3 linked regions of the Oreochromis niloticus genome follow. The protein of the gene in region 2 interacts with the protein of the main gene of each other region in a pairwise test. Links are inferred from orthologs where the notes say so. Each region holds a gene or a part of one and is shown on either strand. Other genes may lie near its edges.

Region 1 (10,003 bases), on a different chromosome or scaffold from region 2:
TCTCCCACTCAAGCTCCTTGATAAGCTTTTCTCGTCTCTTTAGAGATTCCTCCTGAGCCTCACGGTTCTTCTGCATTTTGAGCTCTATCTGCTGCTGTCTCCCCGCAAGCACCTTATCAAAAAAGACAAGAAAAACCCAAAACAGGACAGCTTTTATTTGAACTCACGCCTTTAAGCTTTACTTAAAGTTTTACTCCAAGAGAAATTTACCTCATGCATGAGCCGTTCTCTGGCTTTCCTCTCCTTCTCCCACTGAACTTCTCGTTTCTCCCAGACACGCTGAGCTTCTTCCCTATGAACAGATGGGATACACTGATTTGTATTCACAGAGCCGCACGTGCTCCTTTCTGGAGAGTTGAGGCTTACTAAATCTTGGCGCTCACCTGTGTAAGACTTCAAACTCAGCTTCCCTCTCATGCTCCAGTTGCAGCTGCTCTTCAATCACACGTTTCATCCAGGCGGCGTCAGCGACAGCTCTTTCCCTTCTTGCAGTCTCCAGCCTCCTGTCCTCCTCCTCTCCTTCAAGCAAGGCTGCCAGGATCTTACGGTCGGCCTCCTGGTGTTGTAAAAAGGATTCCAAAGAAAAGGTCTGGGGAACTTATCTGGATTATTACACAGTAAAATCTGCAGGTAAAAAAAAGCATTTACCAGTTCTTCCTGCACTTGCTGGGCTCTTCTTCTCAGCTGAGCTCGATACTGACGGATCAAGAAACGCCTAGTGCAACATGAATCCCATATGTAAAGTACGTCAGTAGAATGAAGTATCATACCACTCTTTGTGTTTGATCATCTGGAGAAAAAGCTTCACATACCCGATCTCAAACTTCTTCCTCTGTTCCTCCGCCTTCCTCCTGTCCTCCTCTATCTTCTCCAGCTCCCACTGCTGCACCAGTAGAGCCTCTTGCTCCTTTTTTAGACGAGTGGCCTGAAAGAGAAAAATAAAAAATAATCTTGTTTACAAAAAAAAGTCTGCAAAGGTGGTTTTGCACAGAAGAAATAGTTTGCTGATGCTCTGAATACCTCTTCTTCTCTCAGCTTCAGTTCTTCCATCTGCTTGCGTAGCTCCTCCCCTCTCTTACGCTCCTCCTCTTTCCTTTTCTCCTCCACTTGTTTGATCCTCTCCAGAGCTTCTCTTCTGGTCCTCTCGTACTCGTTTTCAAAGCGTCTCGTCTCCTCCTGGTACGCCACTTCTTTCTGCATGTTTGACAAGCTGGGTCACTTACAGTAAGTGTCAAAGCTTTCTTAATTATGCACCACCTTTGAGGGGCTGACCAGAGTAGTTTGCGGCCGTGATACTGTGCTCACAGAGTACACGAGCACTGTTCAATTAAAAATAGATGCGTTACATAAAAACTTGGCCACATAAAAAGATAATGACATGTTTAATGACTCGTGGGTCATTTGTGTCAATACTGGTCTGAGAAGGGCTATACTATGAAGTACTGAAGCAACTTCTTCAATACTGGCTATCAAAGTTATTAAAACACTGAAATGAACAGAATTGACTTTGTCTGGTGGCTGGAATGATCCACCTACCTGTTTCTTCTCAGATATCTGCTCCTGCCATTGGCTGACAACGTGATCTTTATGTAATGCTGACTCCAGCTGCAGACAGATTGAAAGAGTGAGTTGTGACAAAGCTGAGACAGAGATACTGATGACCTTGACCCTAGGTGGAAGGGATACCAGAACATTTCTTTTTCTTAAGTCAACACTGGAATCAGGTTAACAGAAAGTCATGGAATATCTGCATCACAGGCCATATAGGTTTCCAGATCAAATGGATGTCTTGACAAAAAGTGTCTGTTTCCTCTACTTGGTGAACCTTCTAGACGTATGGCGTGGTCACTAGATTCCTGAAGCCGTCAAACACTTCATCAGTGGTCACACATCAAGGTCTGAGGTATGGGGCTCGGCAACTTGTCACATTTGCATCAATAGTTTAAACTTGCCTACCCTTCTCAGCTCTTGGTTGTTTCTCTTCCAGTGCTCCCTCAACAGCTCCTGTGCAAGCTAGGCATGACAAAAAAACCAAAAGGGGATTACAAACTTACATGGCACAACACTGTGGTCAATATTTATGGGGCAATGTTCCACCAACTTTTTTTCTTCTCTCTTCTCTTGCCGTGCGAAGCTCTTCACTTTTTTGCACCAACTGACTTGCCAACGTGCTCCTGTCGGGCACCATCTCTCGGAGCTCTGCCTCCAGCTGGTTTTGCTCCTCTTGCAGCATTGCCCTGAGTCGATTCCTGCGCTGCTCCAAGTGGGCTTTTTCTTCTTCCTTCAGTCTGTCTTTATGGTATGCTGACATACTGAAAACAAGAAGAAGAAAAATACTTGGGTAAAAAAAATAAATAAATACTAGTCAAATGATGACAAAGAGCAACACAATAACTATAATAACATAAAGCTCTTTATCTATTTTTTTAACTAATTTATACAGACAAACAAATATGACATACATATATATGTATTGTTACACAGATTTAAAGGAAGATACACTATGGTATACCCACAGTACAACAAACAACTGAACACTACTTCTCTTAGCATACCAGCATATTCTAATAATCCAAAGGAATTCATGAAAACATTTATTTATTGTAATTCCAGTATTTATGGTATTTCCAGGATGATCCTGGCTTCACAAGATTGGATTCCTGTAGGTTTTAGATTTTAAATTTTCCTGATCACCTTTAAAGTGTTGCGGTCTGGCCGTGAGTCTGCTCCCAGACTGAGATGAGTCCATTCCGGCTGTTGTAAAATCGAGACTTCAACATAAAGGTTAGCCTAGTTTTGCCATAGGCTACTCGAAATCTTTGATTCACTTCTGAAAACTATTTTTTAAGGATGTGCTTTTAGGTGATTCTACTGCATCTGATGTAATAAGAAGACCTTTTTTTCTGGTCATCATCCCTTAGTTGTCTTGCTTATGTTCTGGCTCCAGTCTTTCATTTATACATGATGACAATATAGATAATATAATATTATAGTAACTATCTGGTTAGCATTCCATTCAGATCCAATCATAAAATGTGCTTGGCCATACCTATGGTGTCCCCTCATGGGAAAAATACTCTCTTCATGCTTTCTATTAGACTCTGTGTGTTACCTAAATGAATAATAAAAAAGGTAGGGAGTAGTGTCAAGTACTATCACTTTTTTCACAACACAGAACTTATATATGACATGACGTGATTACTTACAGAGCCATCTCTGAGGGCAATAAAGGAGAAACAGGATGATAATGCTGGAGTACGTTATGGCAATCATGTAAAATTAATGACAAGAAAATGTAAGGAGGCAACAAAAATAAAATCACTAAATATAAAGCAATGTGTAGTTATTTAGTTGGATTGCTTCAATATTTGTGTAACGTTTCGGAGACCGTGTGAGTGAGAGCATCTATGCTGGAGGAAGTTACCTCTGCTGGTAGGATTGACGGGAGCTCCACACCGTCTGTTTCTGGCTGCGGATGCTCTGCTCTCTGAAGTACTGAGCATGCAGCTCCCACTGCTGCCGCCACCGGGCCTCCTGCTCCCGCTGCCGGGCCAGCTGGTCGGCCAGGACCCGAGATCGACTGGGCACACGGGTCGAAAGTGTCGGCAGAGCCATGAACCTGAACAGTTAACACAAATGAAAGCTTGATATTAAATTTGTTAAAAATAACAGTGCAGACATAGTTTCATTAGGGCATGTAGCCAGTCAATATGGACGAATGTAGACATCACAAGTCAAAGGTCTCTTAGCCCCATCATATATTCACTGATACTGCTTTTTAAAGTAATTAGTTACTTAACAAATATTGATGCCGAAGACAGCTCAATATCTTCATTGTTATACGTGCTCTACCCATAAAACATTTATAATTTCATGGCCGTAAAGAATAAAGAAAACAATAAGAACAAAAGACTACCAGCTCTAACTACCCATCAGCACTCGGATAAAAGGAGCGTTTAGCTACAACGATAGCAGCCACTTTACCTCTCGGTGGTACCTCGGTTTGCCTCCCCTTGGCTTTTAATTAAAAAAACAATCGACGTTTTGCTTTCACGCACAGAAAGCTTAAATTTACTCACTTCAATACTACAGCTTTCCTTAGTTACCGATACATACACTTCCTAGTTACTCACACGCTACGGGATGAAGTGAAGGTCAAATTTAGTTTGTGGCGGAAAACGCGAAAGGCATAGTTGGAAGTTTGTTTCCGCCACTGAATTTTCTTTGTCTTTGTCGTCATTAAGTCATGATTTTATGTGATTATCTCTTGGGTCAGTGTGTTGAAATGTTGTAACTTTCCTTTAAATTTTCAGTTAGATATGTCGAAATTTCGACACATCTATCTGATACTACCACTACTATTACTACTACTGATATTAATAATATTAATATTAATTAGAACTTATATGAAACTAATAATTAACAATAAGAACGAGCAAACCTACTCTGTAAACTAAACTACATTTAACACAAAATGTTTAAACTAAAAATTACTAAAATGAAATAAACTAAGTAAAATCCAAAACTGTTAAGTTCATGTGTGATACTATTTTGTCTGTCTTTTACAGTAAGATATTACATAGCTATTATATGCTTGCACGAATGCTGGGATAACTATAACTAACGAAATAATACAAAACAGATAAACAGATAAATTAGGTGGAACCAAAGAGCGATATTCCACCAGACTCCGTTAGTTGGCAGCAAAGGAGCATATGTGATTAAACGCAGAGGAAGACCAGTGTCAGCTGATGGAGCACATCAGGTGCTGTTTACTCTGGACTTGTTTCTTCTGTCTGGCAGAAGTGTGCCGTTTATCCGGCCTCTTACCCCGGCAGGTGGCGATGGCCCGGATCTATCACTAACAGGTCGATCACATGAGCTCCTCTGCAGCCAGGAGTTCAGTGTAGGTGACTTCCATGTGAGTGTGTGTGTGTGTGTGTGTGTGTGTGTGTGTGTGTGTGTGTGTGTGTGTGTGTAAGAGAGAGAGGGAGAGGCTTCTCTGTGTGTGAGAGAGATATTTCTGTGTGTGTGTGTGTGTGTGTGTGTGTGTGTGTGTAAGAGAGAGAGAGGGAGAGGCTTCTCTGTGTGTGAGAGAGATATTTCTGTGTGTGTGTGTGTGTGTGTGTGTGTGTGTGTGTGTGTAAGAGAGAGAGAAGGAGAGGCTTCTCTGTGTGTGAGAGAGATATTTCTGTGTGTGTGTGTGTGTGAGAGAGAGAGAGAGAGAGAGAGAGAGAGAGAGGGAGAAAGATGTTTCTCTTTCTCGCTCACTCTGTGTATGTGTGTGTGTGTGTGTGTGTGTGAGAGAGAGAGAGATGTTTCTCTCTCTCTCTCTCTCTCTCTCTCTCACTCTCTCTCTGTGTGTGTGTGTTCTCCTCCTCCTATCACTGTGAAGCTGCAGTGGAGGACTGACAGCCTGTTGCTATCATTTCAACAGTTAGGAGTGTATCCGGACTAAAGAGATGGCTCTGCTAATGGAGCACCAGTTCAGACAGCTGCCAGCTGACAGACAGGTGGAAACAAGACCGTTTCTGGAAGCTGTGTCATACCTTCCACCATTCTTTGGTAAGTGGAGTTTCCACAGTGTGACACAGGGGAGACTGCGTTAATGGGACTGCAAATGAAGTGGTGAATTTTAAAAAATAGATGACAACAGGGAAAATGTATAGTTGTGGTGGTTTTTATGATTAACCTCAGGCTTCCAGATTAATGCCACTGACTGATCATGCTTTATACGTCCACGACTGTTAAACTGGTCCAGTAGGTACAAAAATGTGCAGTTTACGTTAAAATTACCACCCATGCAATGGACATTTTTTTCCACTGTGGTGAATCTTTATTTGGAATTTGTCTGATTATTAAACACTGAACTTGTAGTGATGATAAATCTGTCACAACACTTCCATCTCGTTTAACAAAACGATGTTGCTCTTCCTAATGATAATCTTTTCTGGATCGTGTTTCTCTCCACCAACCTGTCCACAATCCTTTAGCATGCATAATTTACTCCACTGGCCTGGATTTTAAGTTGTGAAAATTGATTAGTACGGTGTTGAGTTCCCCTTGCCCATTCACCGGTGCCGCGGTGCGCCAGGGCATCTTTGTGCGGCTTCATTCTCTATTAATATGCCAAAGTCCCTCCATTGAATTTGCCACGTGAAACCCTTGAGATGAACCAAGTCTGATGTCGATATTAAGCTCTTTCCTCCTTGTCACCATTATTCTTCCTGACCCAGAAATTTTTGAGCCAACTTTCCTACAGGCCATTACCATCCCGCACACTCATAGTACATTCACACAGGTGTCTGAAACTCTCTTGCCTAATTAGTGCCCTAATAGACTTCACTCCACTGGCACGTTCACTCTCCTGTTAGTCTCGTTTCACCACACCAGTGTATTTTATTTTTATTTATATCTAAATAGAGACTTGCTATTTAACCTGTAGTAGTAAAAGTTAGTAGTAAAATGTCATCATGGCTTTGCCTCAAATCATTCTGATTCAATTCAATTAGTAAGTTTTACTTTATGTGTGTTATTAGTAATAAATAATTAGTATTTTTCAGAAGTCCAATATTTAATACAAAAACCTTTTCCCCGTGGAGTGTATGGAAATTAAAGGGATCTGAAACATTAAATGATGCCATTAGTGTTGTGGTGATGCATTACACTGCATTGCACAATAGAAAAGGCTTAGTCATGGGTAGTTTCCACTAACAGCTCAAGGGCTAAAGGCTGTCTGTTGTGTTAGCAGGTCAGCCATGGGCCATGTGAGGTCCACACTCGAGATGTCTTGTTGTTCATTATTACTATTCACTCAGCATCGCCTAATTAACAGATACCAAATGATAACACTGTGATGTGTCTGTTACTCGCTCTCCAACAGCAGATTTTAAACAGCTTAGCAGATTTTTGTCACCGCAGACATTTTGACCTGTCACTGGTGGGAAAACAAAGAAAAAACACTTTCTTAACGACTGTTCAGTAAACAATCCTGCACTTCATTTATTTATAATCATAGTTGTAGAGTAAATGCTAACCTGTCACCCTACAACATACCTGCCGTGCAGCACTGATGCAGGGTGTGGTCAGAGATTACACAGGCTTAAAACTTTTAACCAGGGGGTGCAAAAAAACACTGGCACTTTGCACATGCTTTTTCCAACATTTTACTAAAGCTATATCATTATTCACGAGGGGTCGCCACAGCACATAGCTCTATTTATTTGATTTGGTAGTTTTCAGTTTTAAAAAAAAAACAGATGCCTGATGCAACTCCAAAGGGATTTGTGTCTGCTTTCAGAAACAAATCAGGGGCGAATGTGTAAACCACTTTCAAAGACATTACTATTCAACAGTCTACAAATATGGACAGGTAAAATAGCAAACATGGGATTAAGGGTTACCATTGTATCATGAAAGACAACTATAATTAAAAAACTTGTCATCTGTTAACAGCAAGTTGCTAAAGGGGTTGTGAGATTGTTCATAAGGCCCCACAGATGATGCTGTGCATTCAAACCAGAGTTTAAGTCAAGTTTAATACAGATTCAAATTTAGCTTTTGTGTTAATTAGTAGGAGATGTTGATTACCTCCAAAGAGAATGTTCATCATCTCATATGAGCTCAGTGGTTTTTGTTCACATGTGTGGGGGAAATAAGTTTTGACTTCTTTAATTGCGAGTCACAGCCTGTGTAAATATTCCTCCTCAGACTGCCTCGGCTCTACTATTTTCGCACCGATCAAGGCTGACCTATCGGGTAACATCACAGTAAGTATGGCAATGAGGTAAATCTGACCCTTGACTTCTACATTGCTAATGGATAAGAAAATGATACAATAACTTTTTTATTTAACAGAAAATCAAGTCAATTTATGATAGCAACCCCGGGCGGTTCAAGACTCTCCAGCAGATTTTGGAGGCAGAAAAGGAGATGCACGGAGGAGAATGGCCCAAAGTTGGAGCAACTTTGGCACTTATGTGGCTAAAAAGGTGTGAGAAATTCTACATTTTAGACCAGGGGTGTCAAACATAAGGCCCAGGGGCCAGAATCAGCCCAGCAAAGACTCTAAGTAGGCCCGGTGGACGATTTTCTAAAACATGAAGGAGGGCATATATTTTAAACCTTTAACTATATTTTAAAATGTAGTTTTAAAAATACTTTTAACTATCAATTTGACATCTTTTCCTGCTGATAAAGAATCCCCAACAGCCATTCATACCACGTCAAAATAGTTCATCGTTTGTCTGGGCAGAGTGCTAGCAGAACTTTTTCTGTAATTTTACACATTTTTCATTATAAAAACTGAGATTTTCTGTTGAAACGACACTTCTTCATCTTTTATTAAGATATCTTAGGGACTGACTGTGTAGTTAAAAGTCTTTACATTGACAGAAAGTGGAGTCCGACCCACTTAATGTGGCCGTTGATGTAAAATGAGTTTGAGATCCCTGTTTTAGACTGTTGTGCTGCACTTGCTTTGTCAAGCTGAGAAAAGTCCTTAATCACTGTGCATGTCTTCTTGTCCAAAAGGGGTCTAAAATTCATCCAAGTTTTCCTTCAGAGCCTGGTGGACGGTGAAAAGGACGAGAACAATCCAAACCTTATCCGAGTCAATGTCACCAAAGCCTATGAAATAGCACTTAAAAGATATCACGGCTGGTTTGTGCAACAACTGTTCAAGGTGCATCCAAAGTATCTGCAAATATTTTTTTATACAATAAATGTGTTATAAGCTCATTAGACGCGTAGGCTTGTGAGTAAAATCTGTGCTCGTTCTTATAGGCGGCTCTTTTTGCTGCTCCGTATAAGTCCGATTTCCTGAGAGCCCTCTCCAAGGGTCGGGATGTCAAGGAAGAGGACTGCTTGGAAAAAATCAGAAAATTTCTCATCAACTTCTCTGCAACTATTGATGCTATATATGACATGTACAATAAGATGAATGCCGATCTAGACTACACAGTGTGAATGCAGGACTTCCCTGCGTTTTCCTCAGTGGGAGTGATGTAACCATTAAGTTGCTTATGTTCAGTAGCTCTGCAGTCCACATGTTTAAAAGACAGCTCACTGTGACAGAGCATAATATTCACTTCTGGCTTTGCTGGTGAATCTTTTCCTCAATCTTGTTTGATTCTGGGGCGAGAAATCCAAATATAGCTATACAGTACATGTTTTAACATAACAATTACATTTCTTTACTCTGTGTTTGAACATTCATGTTGCATTCAGGTTTTAAATTATTGTTGGGTATTTATATCTATTCTTATCAGTACTCAGTACACAGAAATGTGTTAAAATTATACCAGGAATCAAAGTTAACTTAACCAGACAGGACCAAGACGTTAATGTGTGAGATGTCTGATGCTGACATATTTAATCAGCCTGTAACAAGTCATCACAAAATATAAGATTAATTATGAATTAGAAAGTTTCTAATCACAAGGAGGAAACAATATAAATTGGGAAACTGTTTAATTTTGCCATTATAATGGGACTGTCATAGTGTCATGCTACCTTTAAGCAATATCTCTCTAACACAGGGCTCTATGGTAGTGACACTGAAGTGAATACAGAGAGAGGAGAATCCATATGTTTCATCTTATCCACCAAACACTGTATTGTATAGCTGTCTGTGATTGGAGTTAAAGTTAATCATTATGTGCACTACAACCAGCAATCACTATCATACTTCCAGTATTTAGGGCTCCTCTCTCTATTCCTGCTCTATATGAACATTCTCTATTGCACACACCTGTTTGTGCCTTAAGCTGAAGGTACGGCTCATTTAAGATTGTTTTTATTGTTTTATACGTCCGTCACTATTGAAGGCACAGTCTGCCTAACATATACTTAGCTGCTATGCTAAGTTGTGCTGTCTTTCTAAAGTGGTGCCTCATCAGTGCTTCTCATTCTAAAGGTGCTTTTTACCCTTTAAGCATCATTTTAAAAAGGTTTTTCATTGCAGTTTTTGACATCTCTAAAGGACTAATTTCAAGTAAATGTC
Region 2 (10,311 bases):
CGGTGCTGAAGGAATAAGAGACTTTGCAGTGGACAAAAAGTAGAACCATTTTTACTTAGAATCAAGCAGCTGTCAAATGTTCGGTTGTGCGATTAGCATTATAAAGTCAATTACAAATGTTTTATTTCCTCTTTGAGATGTTGCTTTTTCATTTTTAGAAAGTGGTCGAAACAGTGTGAACCATGGTGTGAATCTAAGTGGCTGTGCTACATTTCCACACATCCTGCAGTATCTGCATATTGCAACGTTACCACTTCAGAAAGCTCAGGGTAAAACAAACTTTTTAAGGGGTGAGGTGCCTCTCTGTAATTATCATGCTAAGATATTTTTGTCTTTTCTTTCTGTTTTTTTTTTTTTACAAATCAGACAGAACCACAGCTTGGCCTTTGATTTCAATGGAAAAGCAGATTAGCAGTTGTTTAGACCTGCTCATAAAACAACAACAAGACTTCTCACTAAAGAAATACTTAAATGTGCTGTTTGGTGAGTTAAAACCACTCCCCATTTGATAAATTATTAAGCTCAGATGTGTTAAGTTAGATTCCTTTCTGAAATATGGTGGGCGATGTGCAGCTTCAGTAGTAGAGCCACATGCCTCTAATATCAGTAACACTAAAGACTGTGAAGCTGCCCAGATCAGTATCTTCATTTTTCGATCATAGTGATGCATAAAACCACAGTCCACACTGGCTGTAACCCTCCTAACCTTCACTCTGCCTGAAGCCGATTTCTTAAGCTAACTTTATATAAAACGTTAACAAAAGTGAGAGAACTGAAGTGTTAAAATGCAGGTGAAAACATCATGCAGTGAAGGATTTGGCAGGACGTGATTAAAAAAAGAAAAAGGTTTAATTACGGCATCCTGATAAGGACTTCAATGCCAAGGCTACAGTCGTCTTTAAGACCAAAATGACAAAAACAACAAAAAAAAAAGTAAGGTGGATTAAGAGGTAAAGCACCATCACTGCAACCTCCTTCAGAACCTCCTTCAATACTTGTATTCAGCTGACAGACTCCTCTTCGTGATCCAGTCTCTCTCTGCTCTGGCTGATCTGACCCCCTTGAATCTTCTCCAGTTCAGATCTTGGCATGCCAACAGGCAGGCGAGAGACAAACATGGCCATTATATTTTGTATCCCTGTGTTGCTGTTTTCATACACTAACAAGTCGGCGAACTTCACCTCTGGAAGGGTTTGCGGACCTTCTTCCTCCTCCTGGGGGGTTTGCCACTTTCAGCCCATGTCTCGCTGGACTCGGGCCGGTGACCTCCCGGCATGTAAAAACCTGTCTGACTTGGAGGAGGGGAGAAGGGAGGCGCTCCAGCACCAGGTGGGTGATGAGGCGAACCTGAGTGGAAGAAGCTTCCATTGGCAGCCATGTCACTAGGAGGTCCTCCCTTAAAGATTCGGTTGAAGAAGTCCTGCAAATCAGCTGGGTTGGTCGGACCTGCCGCGTGCTCCGACGGTGTCCTGAAAGATAAGATGGAAATTTAAGTTTGTCAAGTGAAATAATGTTATTGCGTGGAGAGGAAACTTTTTGACTTTAATTGAAATGAATAGTACAGCTTTCTTTATTGTAAACGTTGTTATTTCAGCAATACACAAGGGGGAGCTCCTCCTCCTGCCATGCATGTAAAATACACACACACAGATGACAGACTGAGAAAGAAATAAAAAGAACAAATATCAAACATGTTTACATTAATCTAATTTAAGCAAAGTCAGACATTTTAAAGCTTATTTATTTTAATTTCTTCTCTAGTGCCAAAAGGTTTGCATTTTCCCCTCTCTGCACATTTAAAAGGAAAACTCTCCAGTCTGCTGCTGGCAAAGGGCAGATGTTTAAAAACAAGCGGGATAAACCTGAGCCTTTGTGTGGTTTGTTTGTTTAGATCGCACTCAGGTGCAGACCAAAGCAACCACACAAAGACACTTTGGAGGTGGTGGTGTCAGTACAGTTCCAAATGAACTCCAGATCAGCTCGTTTATGTTGTGAACATGATCCGAGCTCGAGCCAAACCAACGACCAGGTGTGCGTTGCAAGTTTGAGCCATGCATGCTTTAAATTCTTGAGCGTGACAAAGTACTATTGACAAGAAAAGGTCTGCACGGGCCAGCAACTAGCTGTGAAATGAACTTTCCAATAGTCCAGAACACAGCATCATCTTCCTGTATTTACTTTTGTTGCTCCCACTTCAGTCACATCTGGCCAATAAGTGGAGTAAACATTGTCATGTGGTTTGTAGGGATGCATTTCGGTTGCTTGGATTTTTCTCCATGTTGCGTGAAAACAAACAAAATCACAGGGAAAAGTTAAAAACTCATCAACTGATGCAGACCACTTAATGAGTTTGTAACTATAGGTGTGAAAACGCCCCTAAGTGTGATGGAGAGGGATCAAACTGTTTGTTTTGCTTCATAAATATTAGATACTGTATCCAAACGTTCACCCAGAGGGATGTACCTGTGTCGTGTGGCATTGCTGTTGTTCTTTGAACCAAAGGAGATGTGATACGGGACCCGGTGTGTATCAGGAGAAATTCCAATTCTCTGGCAACCTGCCCACTCTGAAACGAGATAGTATCATAAAAGGTCACATGACTGAGAGTAAAATGTTCAGCAAGAAAAACCCGTAGCTTTCAGTAGCCTGTCGAAGTATCAACAAAGATCGCTGGTAAATGCAAACTCTGAGATGCACTAGTGGTTTGTTACTAACGAGCCGGCCAGGTAAACAACAGCTGATGCTCACCTGTAATATCATACACCTTGCCATCCATACAGGCAAAGTATGTGATGCGTAGGCCCAGCATGCTCGATTCAGCCCACAGGTCCCCTTCCTCGGCGCTATGGTAACGGTTGCATTCAGCACAGAACCGGGCCTCAGCGGGTTCACGATCCATCTCGAAGCGCCTTCACACACACACAGGAAACAAAGAAAACACACATGTGCTGAAAGCCTGCAACACAAGATTAGCTACAATTTTTTTTAGAATCTTTTGATTTCATGTGCAGCTGTGTGAAGGTGATGCTGGATGTGTAACACCATACTTGTGTTTGCCTTCACACTTGGTACACATCATAGTATTCATGGCTTCCTTCAGGTCATCCTGCAGTTTAGTGAGAAACTCGTTCATGGACTTTGAGAGCTCAGTTGCTGCCATGCGCTTCCTGCGTGAGAACGAGTAAGACAAGTTGTTGATCAGAGATAATGAGTGAAATGTCAAACTTGCTAAATAACTGCACTTGAGTGAGGTTTGTTTGTTTTACCAATAAGAACTAAAAGAAATAACTAAAAAAAATCACTGCATTAAAATAATTGACAAGACGATTTAAAATACAATAAATAATTGTGATTAAAATATTTCTTTCTTTTGTGGTTTTATTGTTGATTTTTTTCCCCGTGCACTTACAACTCATACTCTCGTCGTGTCTCTGGATTACTGACAATATCCCAGGCAGCTCTGAGCACTTTGAACGCCTCTCCAGCTCGTGGGTGTTTATTCTTGTCTGGATGGACCTGAAAGAGAACGGATAGAGGAAAAGGTTGCATGAGTAAAGAATCAAAACTAGTCATTACAGCAGGCATGTAATAGTAAAAATTGAAGTATTTCTGATTCTCACACCTGGACAGCCAGCTGTCTGTAAGCCTTCTTCAGCTCAGTGTCAGTGGCATGCACCTCAACACCGAGAACTGTAAAGGGATCGAGCTCATCCTCTGGTACCTCAACCAGTGCCAGCAGTCTCTCCAACTCCTGGCCTGGTTGAGCTCTTCCTGCTCTGCCAGGTGACCCCGGTGCGGATGGCGGTACATGACCATCCCTCCTGAATAGGCTTCGGGCTTTCTCCAGCAAGGACACTATCCTCTTCCAAACGCGTGACTCCTGAAAAGCCGTCCAATAGTGCTTCCCCCTATCCCCACCAATACGAAGGAAAACCCCCTTGGCCCACTGCGATCCCAGAATAACCAAAGCACAGAAAAATGTGAAACAAGATAAGGCAACTGTCTTTATCCACTTTACTGACCTAACAGTTTTATCCACCACACAAGCTCCTTTGCACTTTGCCCACTTCAGAATCCGGATCGCATCTGCCTTCATTCCAGGAACATCAGTGACCTTCACAAGGAGCTGCTGCCCAAGGTTGTAAAGTTTTACAACTCCAGTCTCCACTCCAACTCCACAGTTGTGAGTTAAAGTGACAATAATCTCAATCATCATGTGGATGCAAGAGATGCACCAGAAGCTCAGAGACTCTGACAGCATCTCCTTGAACGCTAAGATGAGCTGGTTTCCTGTCCTCCGCCGGCCCCGGTTCTGCTGATAGTGGTGGTGGTTACGTCTGCGGGTCTGCTTGTGCCGACCGCCACTTGACATAACATTTCCTCTCTGAATCTGCTCTAAAACTGACCCACCGCTCCTCAGTTTGCACTTCCTTCCACTTCCCATGTTCCTCCAACCAGACTCCCCATTCATGTGCTGCTCCTTTGCTGCATCATCCTCTTCTTGGTTTATAACCTGTGAGTTCTCATTTTCTGTAGTCTTGTCATGCTCAAACTCTTCTGAAACCTCCTCAATATCATCTTTGGCCTCTGCTTCACCAGCCCCAAGGTCTTGTAGAGTGGCTGGGTTTGGAGTTTCCTGAGATCTGAGATAGGCTGTTTTGTCCTCCTGCTCGCACTCATCCTCAACCTCACACTGACTTGAACTGGTCACTGAGGCCGAAACACCATCAGGGATCTCCTCGTCAGTGTCCACAACATCCATCTCTTTCTTAGCAGCTTCTCTTTCCATGTTCCTTACAGCAATTTGACTGAAACGCTGTAAAATCTGACTTTCATTAAAGAGTCCCTAAATCCATAATTTGAGGCCACATTTTCCCCAGGCTCTCATAAAAAAGCGAGACTGGGGGTTCGCACAGGTCAAGTTCAGGTCCACCACATCAGCAGCCACTTGTAGGTATCAAAAGGCTTTTGCACAACTCACATGATGCACTGGAGCTCCTGAAAAGCAAGAGATATGAATCAATCTCCAGGTTTTGATATCACAACAAGTCTGTGTCACCCTACTTAATATAAGTGAATCCTTGTTCCTGTTATTTTTGGCTTTCTGATTTCATATATAACCATAAACCATGTGCCTCTACCTCACACTATCCCTAGCGTCCCTAACATCCACTTTCCCTCCTCTGCACATCTCTACTTTGTCTCTCTAACTTTGTTTCCAAGTGATTTTTTTTTAAATGTATTGGGTTAAATGCAGGAAAAAACCTTAGACGTTCCAGACAACTGAAAAGTAAGAGGAGCATTACTTTAAGACAAATGCTTTGACACCAGAGCGCATAATAACTGCTAAACAATAAGTTTTAAAAGAAACAAAAGGGGGTAACTACAAATTTACAAGTTACGCAGTCAGTGAGCAATGTAGCTGCACGACTTCATCGGTACAACTGTATATGTATCAAGTAGTTACAAATACCCTCTTTGAAGCTACTTTTACGCGTATTTATGCAGATGTGAAAACAGACTACATGCAGTTACCCTGCTTTGTTGTTTGCTAATCCAGTTAGCCAAACAAGAACGCAGTGTGTCTAAAACCCGACCTTTAATAAACAACCTTTTAACTTTTCACAGTAAATAAAAAGGGTATAAAGAAGTCAGTTAGACCCTTAACATGTTAACTGTGTTCAAATCACCAGATGTTTTAAAAGGCGGATAATGTTAGCAGGCAGTCCTGGTGTTAGCATGAGGAAGCAGCCAAGCAGGATGACAGACAGGCGCTACGGGGGCTAAAATTAGCTTGCCTCTGGATAGTTAACCTGGCAACATTTCGACTAAATAAGGTCACAAACGAAGACACAACAGGCGACTGTTAATGCTTTTAGCGAGCCAGCAGTGAACTCTTAGCTACTAGCAGGACTAGCTGAAATATAAACGCCTGTTTCCCCTTCCTGTGTGGTTGGTTTGGCTACTAACGCCAAGACGTGTTTAAACACCGGGACGTCCAGTCCAACAAAGAAGGCAAATAAAATGCGTTTTGCATTAAAACAAATGAAATGTCATATATACCTCTCGGATAACTGTATAACCTTGTTTGTTAACAGACATCCAAGTGTCGGTGTTGTTTTGTTTTTTTTAAGCCACTTCTTCTTCTTCTGCGGCTCCTTTTCCCACTTTATTGCTACGTCCTCTTCCGCCTCCAGCTCCCTCTTCGCGGTTTGCGCGCGGTTAAAACACAACAGCGGGACTCTGCTGCCATCTAATGTTTTGGGAATAGCTGACCGTTAACGGCTAACTTTAGAAATGTGGGTTAAGAAACCCAGCAACCCTGTTTTTACCCGAGTCCTAACTTAGTTCATAGTAGCCTGCTAATCACACTCGGAGGAAAAAGGATAACACATTTTCCTTAATACTAAGATTTGCGTGTTAGAAGCCCACGCTTAATGACCACGATGTTTTGGTCTGGCTTATTTTTTTCAGACTCCATCTTATGCTCACAGTAAAAGGGTAGTTGGGTTGTTATTTGTAACATATGAATAAATCCCTTATTTCTAAAGTGCGTGGTGTAGATGTACCTAAAGGCCACTTAAAACTGCAAATGGATAGGCACACAATACATATCTTAGGCCATCACTGTGCAATAGAACAATCATATAAAATGTGGCAAACAAAAAGGATTGGAGATGCTGGTGTTGGACTTTGAGCTTCTTTCGAGATACTGTTAGTCAATTTAAAGTCTCGATTTGGTGACTTGGTCCTTTACTTTTTCAAACATAACAAAACAAAATACAATACTAGCATTTAAAAACTGCTGGAGCTTCACCCACTCTACCACCTCCTACATAAAATGGGGGGAAATAACAGAACTGGTCTTCAGTAAAAATTCACATCTGTCACGTCAGTTTATTCTTATCTATAGAGGTCTGTATAGTGTATAGCTGGCTGCTTGTTTTGGGAGTCTCTGACATAGTAAAACGGTGGGAACCCCCTAAAGCTTCTGCATAAAGGACTAATCTTGAAGACGCAGAGGGTTAATTTCAAGCCCCCACCACCACCACCCACATCTCCAATTTGAAAGCCGCCTCTCTACCGGGAGAGGAAGGCTCTTTTTCGGTCAGATGGCGTGCTGCAGTCCGCCCCCGTCATTCTCCAGCCCACACAGACAGCAAAAAGGCAGCCAGCAACCAATACGGTGCGCCGGAGGAGGATTTCTGCCAGTGATTTCAGACGAGGTAAGATACGCAAAGGGGATTTACTACGCCAATCTGCGCCGAGGAAGCTGTCGGCAATAGGTAAGACGGTAAGAAACGAATGGGATAATAACTGCGTTGTCTTTGGGTGCTCTCCTCTTAACATCTGGATAGTAAACAGTTGCCTCCAGTCGATGGCTTTATTTGAAATGGAGCCAATAAAACGAGTGTTTCCACTTTAGTGCAGTCTGAATGCGGTTCTGTCTGTGATCAGGAGATTTTAGTTTTTATTTCTTTTGTCAGTATTGCTCCGGCAGATCCGACCCGTGACATCGGTGGCTGGAGCGACACCCTTGCGTAATTACGCCGGTTTCCTCTTTACACATCTGTAAAGCTGACCTAAAGAAGGTAAGAAAAAAGCGATTTATGTATATTCAAAGGTTAAGTCATGAAAAATATAATGAGTAGATAGGAGCTTATTCTGCCCCAAGGGATGCTTAAACTTGCTTTTAACTGTTTATCAGTTTTTATTATTTCACTATATTTGTAATTTGTATTCTGTATATACTAGGTGTGGTCCAGATGCCAAAGTCTTTATCTAAATAATTAACTTGTACAGGATTTCTCCATCTGCAGGTTCATGTCTTTCCTTTCTCCTGCCTAAACTTTCCAGTGCTGTGTGCCATGTCTCTGCCACGCACACTTGGTGAGTTGCAGCTGTATCGGGTCCTCCAGAGGGCCAACCTGCTGGCCTACTATGAAACCTTTATCCAGCAGGGTGGTGACGATGTCCAGCAGCTCTGCGAGGCAGCGGAGGAGGAGTTCCTGGAGATCATGGCACTAGTTGGCATGGCCACCAAGCCACTGCATGTGCGTAGGCTGCAAAAGGCCCTCCGAGACTGGGCGGCGAACCCTGCCCTTTTCAGCCAGCCTGTTGCTAATGTTCCTCTCGGGGGCATCCCGCTCTTTAAAGTTGATGGCACTGGCACAAGTGGATCAGCTGGCGGGCCCAGAAAGTCTGTGAGTAATGGGCAGCCAGGATCCCCCTGTGAGAGAGAGGATCGGATGTGCCTTACACCAATGCACAGCGGGAGTCCAAGAAGCCCCTGTTCCCAGGCCTCTCCACAGCCCCCAGACACACACTACAGGGAAAAACTTTCTCCAATGGATCCACACTGGCTCAGCCCAGAGCATGATGGGAACTGCACTTTGGGTTCTGCACCTGGAACAGAAGAGGAGCCATCCAGCCCACCTCTGCTGTCAACATGTCCTCCCGGTCCTTCCACGTCTCCGAGCCCCTCTGCGTCTTTCACCCCGGCAGCTCCGTCTGCCTGGCCCGGAGGACAGCTGGATGGGGAGACAGCAAGGGCCGTGGTGGAGACTGTGGAGAGGCTCCTCACGACCCTGCCTAGGTCAGATCCTGCAGAGGTGAAGACTTTGCTGAGGATGAATAAGAAGATGGCAAAGACTGTGGGACACATCTTCAGAATGGGGTCCCAGGACGTGAACAAGGAAGAGGAGATCCGGAAATACAGTCTTATTTATGGGCGCTTCGACTCCAAGAGGAGGGAAGGCAAGCAGCTCACACATCATGAGGTAAAAGCATCAAAGTGAAGATGATGTTAATGCATCGCAATATGTTTTATACCTGATTAAAGCTGCACTTCATACCAGAGTGCAGCTTTTTATCAAATGTCAATCAGTGTCCATCCCTTCTGCAATCAGTGTTTTTCCTTCTCAGCTGATCATCAATGAAGCTGCAGCCCAGTTCTGCATGCGTGACAATGCCCTTTTGCTGAGACGGGTGGAGCTCTTTTCTCTGGCTCGGCAGGTGGCGAGAAAATGTGCCTACACCTCCACGCTAAAGCATGCAAGGTAAGAAGACGCCCGCAGAGAAGAGCAACACACCTCACGCCTGTTGTGTTTTAATGGAGCTTGTGTACCAAGAAAGAAAAAAAAAACTGTTAGAGAATCAGGGGTGTAGCTTGAAAGATCCATAAAGTCCAGATCATTCGCAGCCGTGAACACAATGCTTATTTCAGACTGAGGAGCATCACGTGAAAAAACTTGAATGAAATGATTTTATAGTTTGTGTTTAGCATGTTCAACAGGTGATTTATGTGAGTCATCAGCCAACCAGTGGATTCATTTCCAGAGTGAACCTGGTTCACGTCTCAGTGGGAATCAAACTCCGACCTGTACTGTTAGCTAAATGAGCCAACTTTTAAGCCGGTACAAGAGAACACAAATACTACGTGTATTTGTTAACCTGCACAGAACATTTACATATATTTCTCATGCGGGGCAAACAGAATGAGTCAGTGTACACAAACCATAACTAAACAGGAGTAGTTTTGTAATTATATTTCAGTTTTTCAGCATCATAATATATTATAATCGACTGTTGATGATTGAAAGATAGATACCAAGTTCACAGTCTGCTCATCTAACAATAGACACCTTTTACTTATACATAAAAATAAATTTTTTACTTACTCACAGTGAAAAAAATGCTTTGTCTTGATTTTGCAGTGATCGTTTATTAGCTATGGGTAGAATCCTCACCTCTGTGAGGGGTGAAACCATGTGCTTTTCACACTCATTTGCCCCCCAACTGCAGGACGAACGCGGACGAGAGCAGCCTTCTGCCCCAGAAGAGAGCGAGGCTCGAGGTGAGTGTCGGGTGCACTGGCAGTCATCTGAAGTGGTTCATCAGCACCGAACTGACAGTGTTGCTTGTGTGATGTATCTTAGGGAGTCGTGCCCGAGAGTGTGTCATCGCTCCTCGGAGTGGAGGGATCCGAGAGTTTGACTCAGAGGGCAGATGACGACAGCTTATCTGCAGAAAGCCTGGACAGTGTATCACATGGTAAAAACAGAAGAATCAGACTGATGTTAGAAAAAAGAATTAGAAAAGTAATAAAACCTGTTTGTTTTGGGGTTTTTTTTGTAACGATCTGTCAAAGTGTTTGTTTTTGTAAAAACTCTTTAAAGGCAGCATTAAAACCCAGATCTGTCTGTTCTGGTAGACATGGGCTCCCAGTGCAACCAGTCTCCATCTCCCCGTCCTCACACTGACACCTCCAACCCCGCCAGCTGGAGTCGCCACCTCATACAGCAAACGCTC
Region 3 (10,600 bases), on a different chromosome or scaffold from region 2:
ATATATTGTCGTTAAAATCTGCTAATTTCATTCTTTCGTCTAGAGACTAAAAGCTAGCTATGATATTTGTCACTGAGTGATAAAAGTACTTTTTTTTTTGGGAAAACAATTAATCTTAAATAGAAATAATAAAATTAATTGTTATTCTAATTTAATATTTCTGACGAGAAGCTTGTTTTCATCCATTTATGACAGTCTGTATAGTCGGCACCCCTCAAAAATCTATTGGACTACATTTGATATTTTTAGTATAATTGCTCATTGTGAAACAAGATTTAAGGCAATACCTCACAATATAATGAAATCTCACCATTACAGTGTTACAAAACCATCTTAATTACTGCAGTGGAAAATGTTTGCACTGCATTAGTATGGCAATATATTGGAGATAATACTTTAAAGAAATGGGCCCCAATATTTTATCACTGCTGGTGAGAAGTAAGACTTGCCTCTAGAAGGATTTGAGTAAACCCTGAGAAAAAAGAATCAAAGAGGTAATTAATTTGATTTAATTATTGGAATTCCATATTAAGAACACACAATATTATTTTATCAAACTGGATTGTGACAGTGGCAACAGAAAGTCAATCAATGCATATGTCTCCATGAGCATGGCTGTTGAAGTTGTACATAGAAAACTGAATAGTCTATTCAGATAATACATACTGGCTACGAGAAACCTGAGCAAAATCCTAAATGCAGCTGCTTGTACTTCAGAGTTAACGTGATAAAAACAAACATGGAAGTATTGTTCAGGTAGCTTATAAGGTAATGGAGGTTTATGCAATTCAATAGACACATTATATTTAATGTACTAGTCGCATTAATCCAAACCTGCTTTCAAAAATCAACTTAAAAGAAACAGACCTGATCTGTAAAACACAGCGACAATACTGGAGAACAGAAAGATTCAGGACTACAGAGCAGCACAGCTCTATTAAATGCTAAATAACATTAAACAAGTACAATCCTTTAGGACCAGTTATAATAATGACTTCATCTGCATTTTCTAACACCCCAAACAAAGAATTGCAACTGTGGAAAAACTGTTGAAACGTATTAAATCTTTCTTAACCAGATATCAGCTGAGGTAAGTTCATGTAAAAATGTTACATTCAAAATGTTGACAAAAGCACCTTATTTAAAGTATGTATTAGTTACATCATAATGTCCCTTTTACAGATGTATTTTTAGTCAGTTTACACTAAAACAGACAACTTAATGCCATTTAGCAGTTTCAAGTTCCTGGTATTGTGCATGCTGTAACACTGTCTGGAACATTTGAATATAATACATCACAACGCCGTCAGTAACACCAGTGCTTTTCTTTTCATAAATCAAAATGCCTTACGCAGAATATAGCAGGTAAGAACTGTATAGTGTTTTTGTCAGGTTCATAACGAAAAAATAATAAAATAATAAAGTGTAAAAGACAACTAACATTTGTAAACTATAAAGTAAATGTAATTAAATGTAATATCCAGAACCCATTGTTTGTTCATTGGTTTGGACATATTAACATATATCCAGTCAGCCAGTTTCCCAAACACAGACCGAGTCTGGTCCTCACAAAATGAATAAAATTTAAAAAAGAAAGAAAAGAATCAGTGAAGGTCTCCACTGAGTAAAGAGTTTAATCACCAGGCTTAATTCAAGGTTGGGAAATTGAGTTAGCGTGTGTTTAGACCCACAAAACATGAGATTTTTTTTTATTGTTAGTTCAATACAAACAACAAACAGACTTGTGCAAAGGTATTGAGCCACCCCTCATTTCTTTATATTTTGCTTCCAAGGAGTCAGACTTCATTTTCATTTGATAATGTAGTGTTCAGTAATAGTTCTCCAGGCTTTCTAAAGATCTTCCAAAGCTTTTCCTTGGACACTGCTTTTTCACTTAGTTCAGTCCCTGTACCTGACCATTTTCAGAGGAACATTTTTGTTAGTTCTGCTACTTCACACTGACCTATCAATCATTCAAGCAATAAAAAAAACACCTAACTCAAGAGATGAGCAACCAGTGGTGTATCTACAGATAACAGATGATTTAGCAAAGAATGAATTTACGTTTGTTTTTCTTTTGGCACATTATTATTAGCAGCCTGCCACAAAAACACAAAGTTTGCTTCAGTAAAAACACCAAAGATGACAAAGTTTGACAGGCATAAATTTGTATTTTAGTACCAGTGAGCTGATTTCCAAAGTGCTTTTAGAAAAAACACTACAACAGTCAGTGTGTAAAACAGGACGCTCTTTCGTGGTTTGGGGAAAATAAAAAATAAAATAAATTAATATTAATTTAATAATAATTTTGAAAAGTAAAGGTCATACCGAATATTGACTTTTTATCTTTATAACTGTAGAAAAATGCTGTTTTTCTTATATATACTTAATTTCCACGCATGTTTCCACATGTTTCAATAAACTGCTGTACCTATTTTCTATCTTTCTGCCAAAATTGAAGAAATAAGGGGTGGTTTAATATTTTGACACAGTACTGTGGCTAGATATAGTGCAGACTGCATAAAGTAGATTGATTTAAGGTTTTCAGTTTAATAAAATGCCCTTAACTTGAACCTTTCAAGAAACCCTAGTCCAGAAACGTTTCAATGGAGACATCTTTTAATTTTTCTTGTAGTCTGGGACTAAAATTAATCCATGTCTCAAATCTGCTCAGAAATTTCCCTGACTTCTACTTTATCAGATCCAGTTAACTTGCTGGTTCATCTCTGCTTCTTGGATCAGTCCCAACAACTGAGATCTTGAATACTATACTAAATATAATCTTAACTGAATTCTTACCTAGTGTCCAACATACACTGCACATGTAAAAGCTGCCCTTGTGATGAACTCCCTACGTATTGTTAGTGATTTCAGGCGCCTCTAGTTTCAATCACCATAGAAAATGAGAAAAATTGTAAAGATCACAAAGATAAAAGATAAAGGTAAATTTCCCTGCAGACAAATTACCCTTTTTAAAAGACTGGTTTACGTGTGCAAATGCTGTCATTTTAAATAAGTTAAACATTTCGGAAATTGTTTTTTTAAATTTTGAATTATAATATGAAAAAAAAGAATACGGGCAGCATAATGCATCCTGCAGTGCAGGCTCAATATTTGTAATATTTCATGTGCCACGGCTACGACTGCATGCTTGCTTTCAGCTCCCGGAGAATGTCAGTGCCACTGCTCCAGGCAATGTTTTTAGCTCTTAGAGGAAAGTTGCCCTCCTGACCTTCCAGTTTGGCTAGCAGCTTCTCCAGAGTGTATCCCTTTCTTGGCATTACAACATCGCGGCCTCTCAGACGGGAAGTAGGGCAGAGATCATTCCCCCCATCCCCCGCATAAAAGATTTGCTCATACTCCACGCCAGCATCAGATTGCTCAGAAAGGTAAAGCTCCAGGACTTTTTTCTTGCAGAGGTTGACAGGGCATCGATTGCAGTCGTGAGAATGATAGCACTGCACCTCAATGTGGCCCAACTCATTGAGCTTAGCTGGGTTGGTAAAAACCTTGTCAACAGCTGCCTGGAGTCCTGCAGCATGAAGAATCCATTCTATAAACAAGGTGTTGGAATCAGAGATGACTATGCAGTCAATGACACTTTTATTCTCTGCTATAAATGTCAGCAAGTCAGTCATTCCAGCTGTAAAGGGGATAGTCTCCATCACACTGCGAACCCTGTCTGGGCTCACCTTCTGCTCTCCTGCGGGCATAGATTAAAAAATGTTGAGGGCAGATTTCAGGAAGTAGTAAAACAAAAACAAACAGCATGACAGACTCTCACCTATGTAGTTCATCACCCTGCCCATGTACTCAGTCCAGTAGCCTTTTCTGTACGAATTCTCCACAGAGCCAGGAAGTGTCTTATCAGGAAGACACCTGACAGAAGGAATAAATAAAGAAGATAAATCAGGATAAATCAGCCATAGTGTTTCTCTAATGGTGTATTGAGGTCCTGGTATAAAACAGTAATTACAGAGTAGTAGCGGGAGCAGTGCCACAGACATGAGGAACTGATATTATGCTCAAAGAATAGGAAAATCTTTGTCAAGATAATACATACAGATGGCAAGAAACTTGGGAAAAGTCATATATGCTATCTGAACAGCTGTAGTAAAACTTTCTTGACCTACCTGACCACCCAAGTGTCACTGTTGGCATCGACCACGGTGTGGTCAAAATCAAACACCATCAGAATTTTCATTTTTCACCTTAAAAGCAAAATAGCACAAAAACTAACTTTTTAAAATAAATTAAGCAAGATAATAGTTATTTTTAAGCTCCACCCTTCTATTATTTCGTTTGATAACGGATACTGTTTTCAAGCGGCCTATTTACGTCTTATCAGCTCAAAACACAAGTAACTGAGCCCACAGTTTCGCTTCTTAAGAATCACCCTTCCCATTAAAGCCGATTGTTACTTGACATCTCAAATAACATTTATTTAACAACATTTATTATTCTTTTCTCCATCAAGACTACGTTAAAACTAACCAACTTTTAAATGCCTTGTTTTTTAAAGGCAGTACGTGTAAACTCGTCCCCTTACAAGTATACATCCCACGGGTAGAGCTAGTCAGTCCGTTACAACGGTTCCTAACGTGCTGAAGACAAGCGACTGGGATTACATAGCTTTCTGTAATAAACTGTAGTAAACTATACCCAAGATAAATACACATAAAATACATAATAATAATGTAAAATGGTGAGCAACTGCAAAATTACCGGTACGAGTCCGTCACGAATTCACCGGTCTTCCTTCTCCTTATCTTGCTTTGCCGCAAAAAGTGGAACAAATCTCAGCTCATTACCGCCACCTGCAGCTTCTTTTGGATGTTGCGTTAAAACGTAGTAGTTCCTCTACTGCCCACAATGAGCACATAATTTATAAGACATACCATCTTTCTACTTTAGTAAAGGTGTAGATCTTTCAACGTGCAACACTTTTGTGATAGTTTTGACTGATAAATACTCTTTGTTTTATTAATATATTCCACCATAGCACTAACAACAACCCATCAAACCACACTTCCCATATTTGGCCTCCGGGTGGCAGTATCCCACAACTGCACATACGAGAACGCAGAAGAAGAAAACGTCAGTTTATTTCCTGGTTTCCTGGTTGTATAGTCAGGAGAGTCCGTGCAGATTGTTTTTCCGTATCTTTAATCTAATCGATCGGTGTTTTTCCACCAGCATGTTAAAAGGTTTAGGGACGTGGTTGGGTCTGGAGGGCCCGACCGTCACGAAGACGTCGGTTGACCAGGAAAAGCTGAACGTGGAGCAGGAAGAGAAGGTGGTAGAAGCACAAACCGAGGTAAACAAACAGCAGCCAGCTGACCGAGATGGAACACCAGAGGCGGAGCAGGAAAACTCGGAACAGTCCACTGGACTGGGCGGTGAGGAACAGCTAATTTCTGGATAATTAACTCTTAATTAATTCTAAGCTATGTGCTCAAAGTTACTCAGCGTGACGTAAGTCTTTCTATCTGTGTTGACCCTGAAGGCTTTCCTGTTCATCTTTTTTGTTTGTTCTTCACCCCGAGCAAGAGCAATGTGACTTCAGGAGTATCTGTTCCCTCATATATGTATCTTTTATTGCAGTGGTAATGATTTTATTAACGGACTCTTTCTGTATTTGAAGGTTACATCTTCAGTTTTGCTTCTAATGCCACCAAGAAAATTTCTGAGTCAATGGTGGAGACTGCCCAGACCATCAAGAAGACAGTGGAAGAAGGAAAAATTGATGGCATCATAGACAAGGTATTTTGCTCTCAAATTCTTTTTGACTGGTTTTGCATATTTTAAAAATGGCTTGGGGTTCATATGTGCATTTGTGAGTTCATAGGTCAGTTTTCTGTATTCGCTTACCCTAACTGGCACACAAAGCTGGTTATCAGTTCGCTAATTTAACCCAGGGTTTCTCCTAGAACTCTGAAACTTAAACTAGATCAATTTAAATGTTAAAGATTTATTAGTCTAATAAAGAAGACATTGAAATCACTTTGGTTTGTTGCAGGTCAAAGTAAAATTAACTTGATTGATTGAACAGGTATTCTTTATATGTGTTCTGTGTTCTGACAAACTGTGAACATAACCTGCTCCCAACATTTGGATTTTGGATTTTCTCAGCTGCAAACTCAGTGCTGTTTAAAGGTTTGAGAGTAAAGTTGTTGTTTTTTTATTCAAATATAGGCTTAGTCTACATACAAATTTGATAGGAGTTCAGCAAGTACAGTGTAGGTGTCCTATTTTAGGATCAGATATTAATACTTGTAGAACAATAAAGTTGTTGTAAAATTGTTTATTAAAAAATAATAGAATAAAGTTGTGTCTAGAAATCTATGTTATTTATTACCTAGGCTTATTAGGGAAACAAAGATGCTATAGACGCTATAAAAGAAAACTTTACACCCTCCTGTTTGTGCACAGAAGTTTGAGGGATCTTCCAAGAATAGTGACACTATTTTCTGGAGAATTGATTAATCAGTAGGCAGTGAGTTCATATCTGTTGATCTCTAGTCTGGATCTTAACTTGCTCCGGATGGCGATTTACCCCAAGTAAGACGTGAACCACCTTTATAGTACAGAAAACCCAGGGGTTAACCCTGAAGTTACCTGGATATTGTAGTATTATTAAGTAGTTATGCCTCTGGACTTCAGGGCTTTATTATCCACATAAACATACTGTCCTGTAAATAGGCTACACATTCTCTTGTTGTTTCTTGTTATTTTTTGGCAATTTTTGATCAATAAAAATAGCTTGAGTAGATTAAACATTACCAAAAAAAAGGTTTTCAAAGTATTTTTAAGTCTAAAAATGTTGAAGTCTAAAATTTGTAACAAAGTTGCCAGATTTTTTTATATGCAAGTAAAATCCTGGATTTTATCATGACTTTTTCAGTACTTTTTGCTTTGTTAACACTTTCTATTTATGTATCCACTTTTCCAATCTATTTATGTGTGTGTGTGTGTGTGTGTGTGTGTGTGTGTGTGTGTGTGTGTGCGTGCGTGCGTGTGTGCGCGCGCGTGCATGCGTGCGTGTTTCTAGACGTTTTTAGGAGACTTCCAAAAAGAGCAAGAGAAATTTGTCCAGGAGAAGAAGGCCAAGAAATCAGGTAAACCAGACTTTAAAGCATGAATGTTATTTAGTAATGACCTCTACAGTCACCAAATCTTAATCTGATAAAACACCTTTGGGATTACAGTGACAAATCTGCAACATCTGCTGTGTGATGCTATCATGAAATCACATCGCTGCACGATATTTCCACAATTTTATTGAATCTGAGCAATGAAGAATTAAACTGGTGCTACAAGGTGAATGAAGTGTAGTCATAACGTTTTCCAAAGGCAATTATTGAACCACTATGAAAATAAACATATCAATCAAAAAGTTCAGCTATTAATTTCTGAAAGTGTAACTTGCACTTTGAAAGTGATACACTTGGTTTAAAATGGGAGTCTTGTGAGACCTGACTGGGATAAACTGTGTAATCTTCAGCTTTACATTGCACCTGTGAGGGGCAGCAGAAATGATGATATCATGATTTTATCAGCATATGTCACATACTGGCCAAGCAGCTTCTATTTACAGAGAACCAGGTGTGTACATGTGTGCATCTGAGAGATAAGGATTGGAACTGATGACTGATGGTACATGACTGTGTGTGTGTGTGTGTGTGTGTGTGTGTGTGTGTGTGTGTGTGTGTGTGTGCACGCATGTTTGTGTAGAAGCAGCAGTGCCACCATGGGTCGGCTACAATGAAGAGGAAACAATCCAGCAACAAATTCTCGCTCTGTCCGCTGTAAGAAAAGGCATCATGCACAATATGCAGTATGAATGTATGAATGGGTAGCTATTTTTGTGGCTGCTGTCTTACTTATTTAAATTTATAAATCATGCTTTGAGTAGAAACTGAGCTATTTGGTTGCTGATTCTAGGACAAGAGGAACTTCCTCCGCGACCCTCCCGCTGGTGTTCAGTTCCATTTCGACATGGAGCAGATGTATCCTTTAGCTGCAGTCATGCTGGAAGAAGATGAGCTCCTCAACCGCATGCGCTTTGACCTGGTTCCTAAACAGTCAGTGCTCTTGAAACATTTATGTGTGTGTGTTTATGTGTATTTAAGTGTGTGTCTATGCAAATGTACCTGTTTTTGCCTCCATTTATAGCAGAGTCAATCTAAAACTGATATTTAAAAATGGATGGTGACATGTTTGTGTTTGACAGTGTGAAGGAGGAGATGTTTTGGCGGAACTATTTCTACCGGGTGTCTCTGATCAAGCAGTCGGCTCAGCTCACAGCCCTGGCAGCCCAGCAGCAGCGGAAGGATAGTGTGGACAAAGGGGCCAGTGTTTCACCTGAAGACGTCGTCCTAACAGGTCTGAATTTTTAGCTCTGCAAGAGAGGTAGAGACCACCAAGCAAACTTTGTGGTATCCCAGCTGCAGGAAGGCAGGGCAGATTTACAACCTCAATTCAACAGTGGAAAAATTAAATGTAGTGTCTTTATAAAAGTGGTTTATACAGTCAAAGACCTTCACAGTCCTGCAGGCATCTAAACACCATGTAAGAAAGAAAGCGGTACAGCTCTCTTAAAGTTACAAAGGTATCAGTTTAAAATGTAAAAGCAGAAACTGTGAAAGGAGCTGAAAGCTATATTTATTTTGCTCTCTAGGAAACGTTGGCTTCCCTCTGCCAGATGGTCTGAGAATTCAAGAGGACTAAAGATTACTCGCTCAGATCTTTTGTGGTCTAGAGCCACAGAGAGCTTTATATCCAAACAGCACTACTTTAAATTGTTCTTTGACACACTGGAATCGATGGCAGAAATTGCTGCCATGTGTTCTTTTCTTGGGCTTTATTGATACTCTGGTAACAGCATTCGGAATAAAAGGAAGGTGTCTGTTTGATGTGAAGTCATAATGAAGGAAATGGAAAAACCCAATCCTCTTAATGCATCGCTGAAAACTCTTTTCCTCCCTCATTTAAATGGGCACATACAGTGTTTGTAAAGACTGATGTGGAATTTATTGTCCTTGTCTGTTTGAGTAGCTCATTGGCTGCAGAGAGAGAGAGAGAGATTGTAAGAATTCAGCAAACACAAAGGCTTTCAGAGGCGCTGAGGGTAGTTGTCCAAAAAGCCAAGAACAAGTTGCCCAATAGTGATGGTTTATGTAGATAGAATGCTGATTGGTTGATAAGCTAAAGGAACCAGGAAAAAAATGATCACCAGGAAGAAGTATGTCATGTAATGTAGGTTTTCTCTCTAAGCTTAAGGATCAACACTGGTGGAAACATAAAGAGCAGCCCACATTACCAGTTGTTCCACATATTTTTAACACTACCCCCACATCACAACACTTTGCTACAATGTACAAAATTGAGCTAAGTACTGTGTTAGTGCTGTTTGGGAATCTCTGTGTAGCACCTGTGGACTTCCAACACAATATCTGAATATGTGATTCAATTATTTTATTTAGGGAAAGAAATCTGTCTTTTTTAATTATTCAACATAAACATGAAAAACATAATTTGTTTTGTATTTTCTGCTTGGGTGAACTGGGAAACAAATTAGATATTTTATTTAAGGACTCAACGGTAAAGAAGTCATATTATGTAGTGTTATAGAGCTATCTAAATGGATCAGGCGGCATCCATGGTAAAAGCGATTATAAGAAGGTTTGTGGTCAGATTTTGATAAATGACCTCAGACACCGTCCAAAGGTCAGAGGTTAAAGAGTAAGTCCATTGTAATAACAATGTGTTATTTCTTTGTAGACAATGTCAGACCAAAAACGCCACCAGTTTCCATCAGTGACATACAGAAGGTAAAAGCACTACACACGTTGAACTTTCCCAACCACCTTTCAAGAAGTTAAGAAAAAAAATCAAGAGTCGCTTTCCTCTTTCTCTGCTGCCTGTTTTCCTCCTAGCCAACACATGAAGAAGAGGAGGAGATTTCAACAAGTCCGGGAGTGTCTGAGTTTGTTAGCGATGCTTTTGACTCAACGGCCATAAACCAGGAGGACCTGAGGAAAGAGATGGAGCAGCTGGTGCTGGACAAGAAGGACAGTCCTCCTTCTCCTGATGGTTGGCTTTGGAAGAGTTCCTATGCTTTTTTTTTTAAGCTCGACGTATTTCTTGTTCTGTAAGAGAATGGCTTTGCTTATAATACTTCCTCCCTTTTATATCCAGATGAATCAGCAGATTGGGAAAAGGAGCTGCAGCAAGAACTTCAGGAGTATGAGGTGGTGACTGAGTCGGACAACAAAGATGACCAGTGGGATCAAGAGATCGAGAAGATGCTCCAGTCTGATGACAGCTAGTGTGTTTGATGTGTTTACAGTCACTTATCTGGGCTGAAATTAATGAATCGTGACCAGTGATGCACGAGGGGAGGAACTTTACACAACTCCCATTTCTATCTCGTATCTGATGAAGTGTCGTAGATCCAATTATAGCAAGAATGTGTCAACTCTGCTTGAGGCAGCAGTCATTTTCTGGCATATTAGTGAGTTCATTGCTCCCTCCTAAATGAGTTTTCTCTATTTGGTTCTCCCAATCAGCTGTCTTTTTGATGAGAAATATCATTAGA

What was found. The genes of interacting proteins can lie anywhere in the genome.
Region 1: the proteins of nab2 (region 2) and tchp interact in binary tests that used the Homo sapiens proteins (3 or more experiments, as listed by UniProt). The two-hybrid records come from large-scale screens. The link is inferred for Oreochromis niloticus from reciprocal best matches to the Homo sapiens genes NAB2 and TCHP.
Region 3: the proteins of nab2 (region 2) and phospho2 interact in binary tests that used the Homo sapiens proteins (3 or more experiments, as listed by UniProt). The two-hybrid records come from large-scale screens. The link is inferred for Oreochromis niloticus from reciprocal best matches to the Homo sapiens genes NAB2 and PHOSPHO2.

What each region holds. Positions count from the first base shown.
Region 1 is NC_031977.2:18,099,086-18,109,088, reverse strand, and holds the start of tchp (trichoplein keratin filament-binding protein), read right to left. Parts: upstream 4,966-10,003; 5' UTR 4,831-4,965; exon of another isoform or gene 4,764-4,830; intron 4,132-4,763; exon of another isoform or gene 3,985-4,131; intron 3,620-3,984; 5' UTR 3,616-3,619; coding exon 3,425-3,615; intron 2,313-3,424; coding exon 2,102-2,312; intron 2,014-2,101; coding exon 1,957-2,013; intron 1,606-1,956; coding exon 1,537-1,605; intron 1,195-1,536; coding exon 1,021-1,194; intron 926-1,020; coding exon 813-925; intron 716-812; coding exon 649-715; intron 557-648; coding exon 384-556; intron 293-383; coding exon 211-292; intron 113-210; coding exon 1-112. Other genes in the region: gltpa (glycolipid transfer protein), read left to right, coding at 5,463-5,565, 7,711-7,769, 7,858-7,991, 8,533-8,683, 8,785-8,967. UniProt on the Homo sapiens protein: Tumor suppressor which has the ability to inhibit cell growth and be pro-apoptotic during cell stress. Inhibits cell growth in bladder and prostate cancer cells by a down-regulation of HSPB1 by inhibiting its phosphorylation.
Region 2 is NC_031970.2:24,801,205-24,811,515, reverse strand, and holds the start of nab2 (NGFI-A-binding protein 2), read left to right. Parts: upstream 1-6,366; 5' UTR 6,367-7,294; intron 7,295-7,487; 5' UTR 7,488-7,592; intron 7,593-7,820; exon of another isoform or gene 7,821-7,857; 5' UTR 7,858-7,868; coding exon 7,869-8,780; intron 8,781-8,925; coding exon 8,926-9,059; intron 9,060-9,804; coding exon 9,805-9,856; intron 9,857-9,938; coding exon 9,939-10,053; intron 10,054-10,213; coding exon 10,214-10,311. Other genes in the region: dnajc14 (dnaJ homolog subfamily C member 14), read right to left, coding at 1,178-1,469, 2,464-2,566, 2,749-2,909, 3,048-3,167, 3,410-3,516, 3,623-4,789. UniProt on the Homo sapiens protein: Acts as a transcriptional repressor for zinc finger transcription factors EGR1 and EGR2. Isoform 2 lacks repression ability.
Region 3 is NC_031965.2:35,616,227-35,626,826, forward strand, and holds phospho2 (pyridoxal phosphate phosphatase PHOSPHO2), read right to left. Parts: upstream 4,966-10,600; 5' UTR 4,726-4,965; intron 4,212-4,725; 5' UTR 4,205-4,211; coding exon 4,134-4,204; intron 3,880-4,133; coding exon 3,785-3,879; intron 3,704-3,784; coding exon 3,138-3,703; 3' UTR 494-3,137; downstream 1-493. Other genes in the region: syap1 (synapse-associated protein 1), read left to right, coding at 5,198-5,399, 5,645-5,763, 7,052-7,118, 7,735-7,808, 7,945-8,084, 8,234-8,385, 9,784-9,833, 9,939-10,095 and 1 more. UniProt on the Homo sapiens protein: Phosphatase that has high activity toward pyridoxal 5'-phosphate (PLP).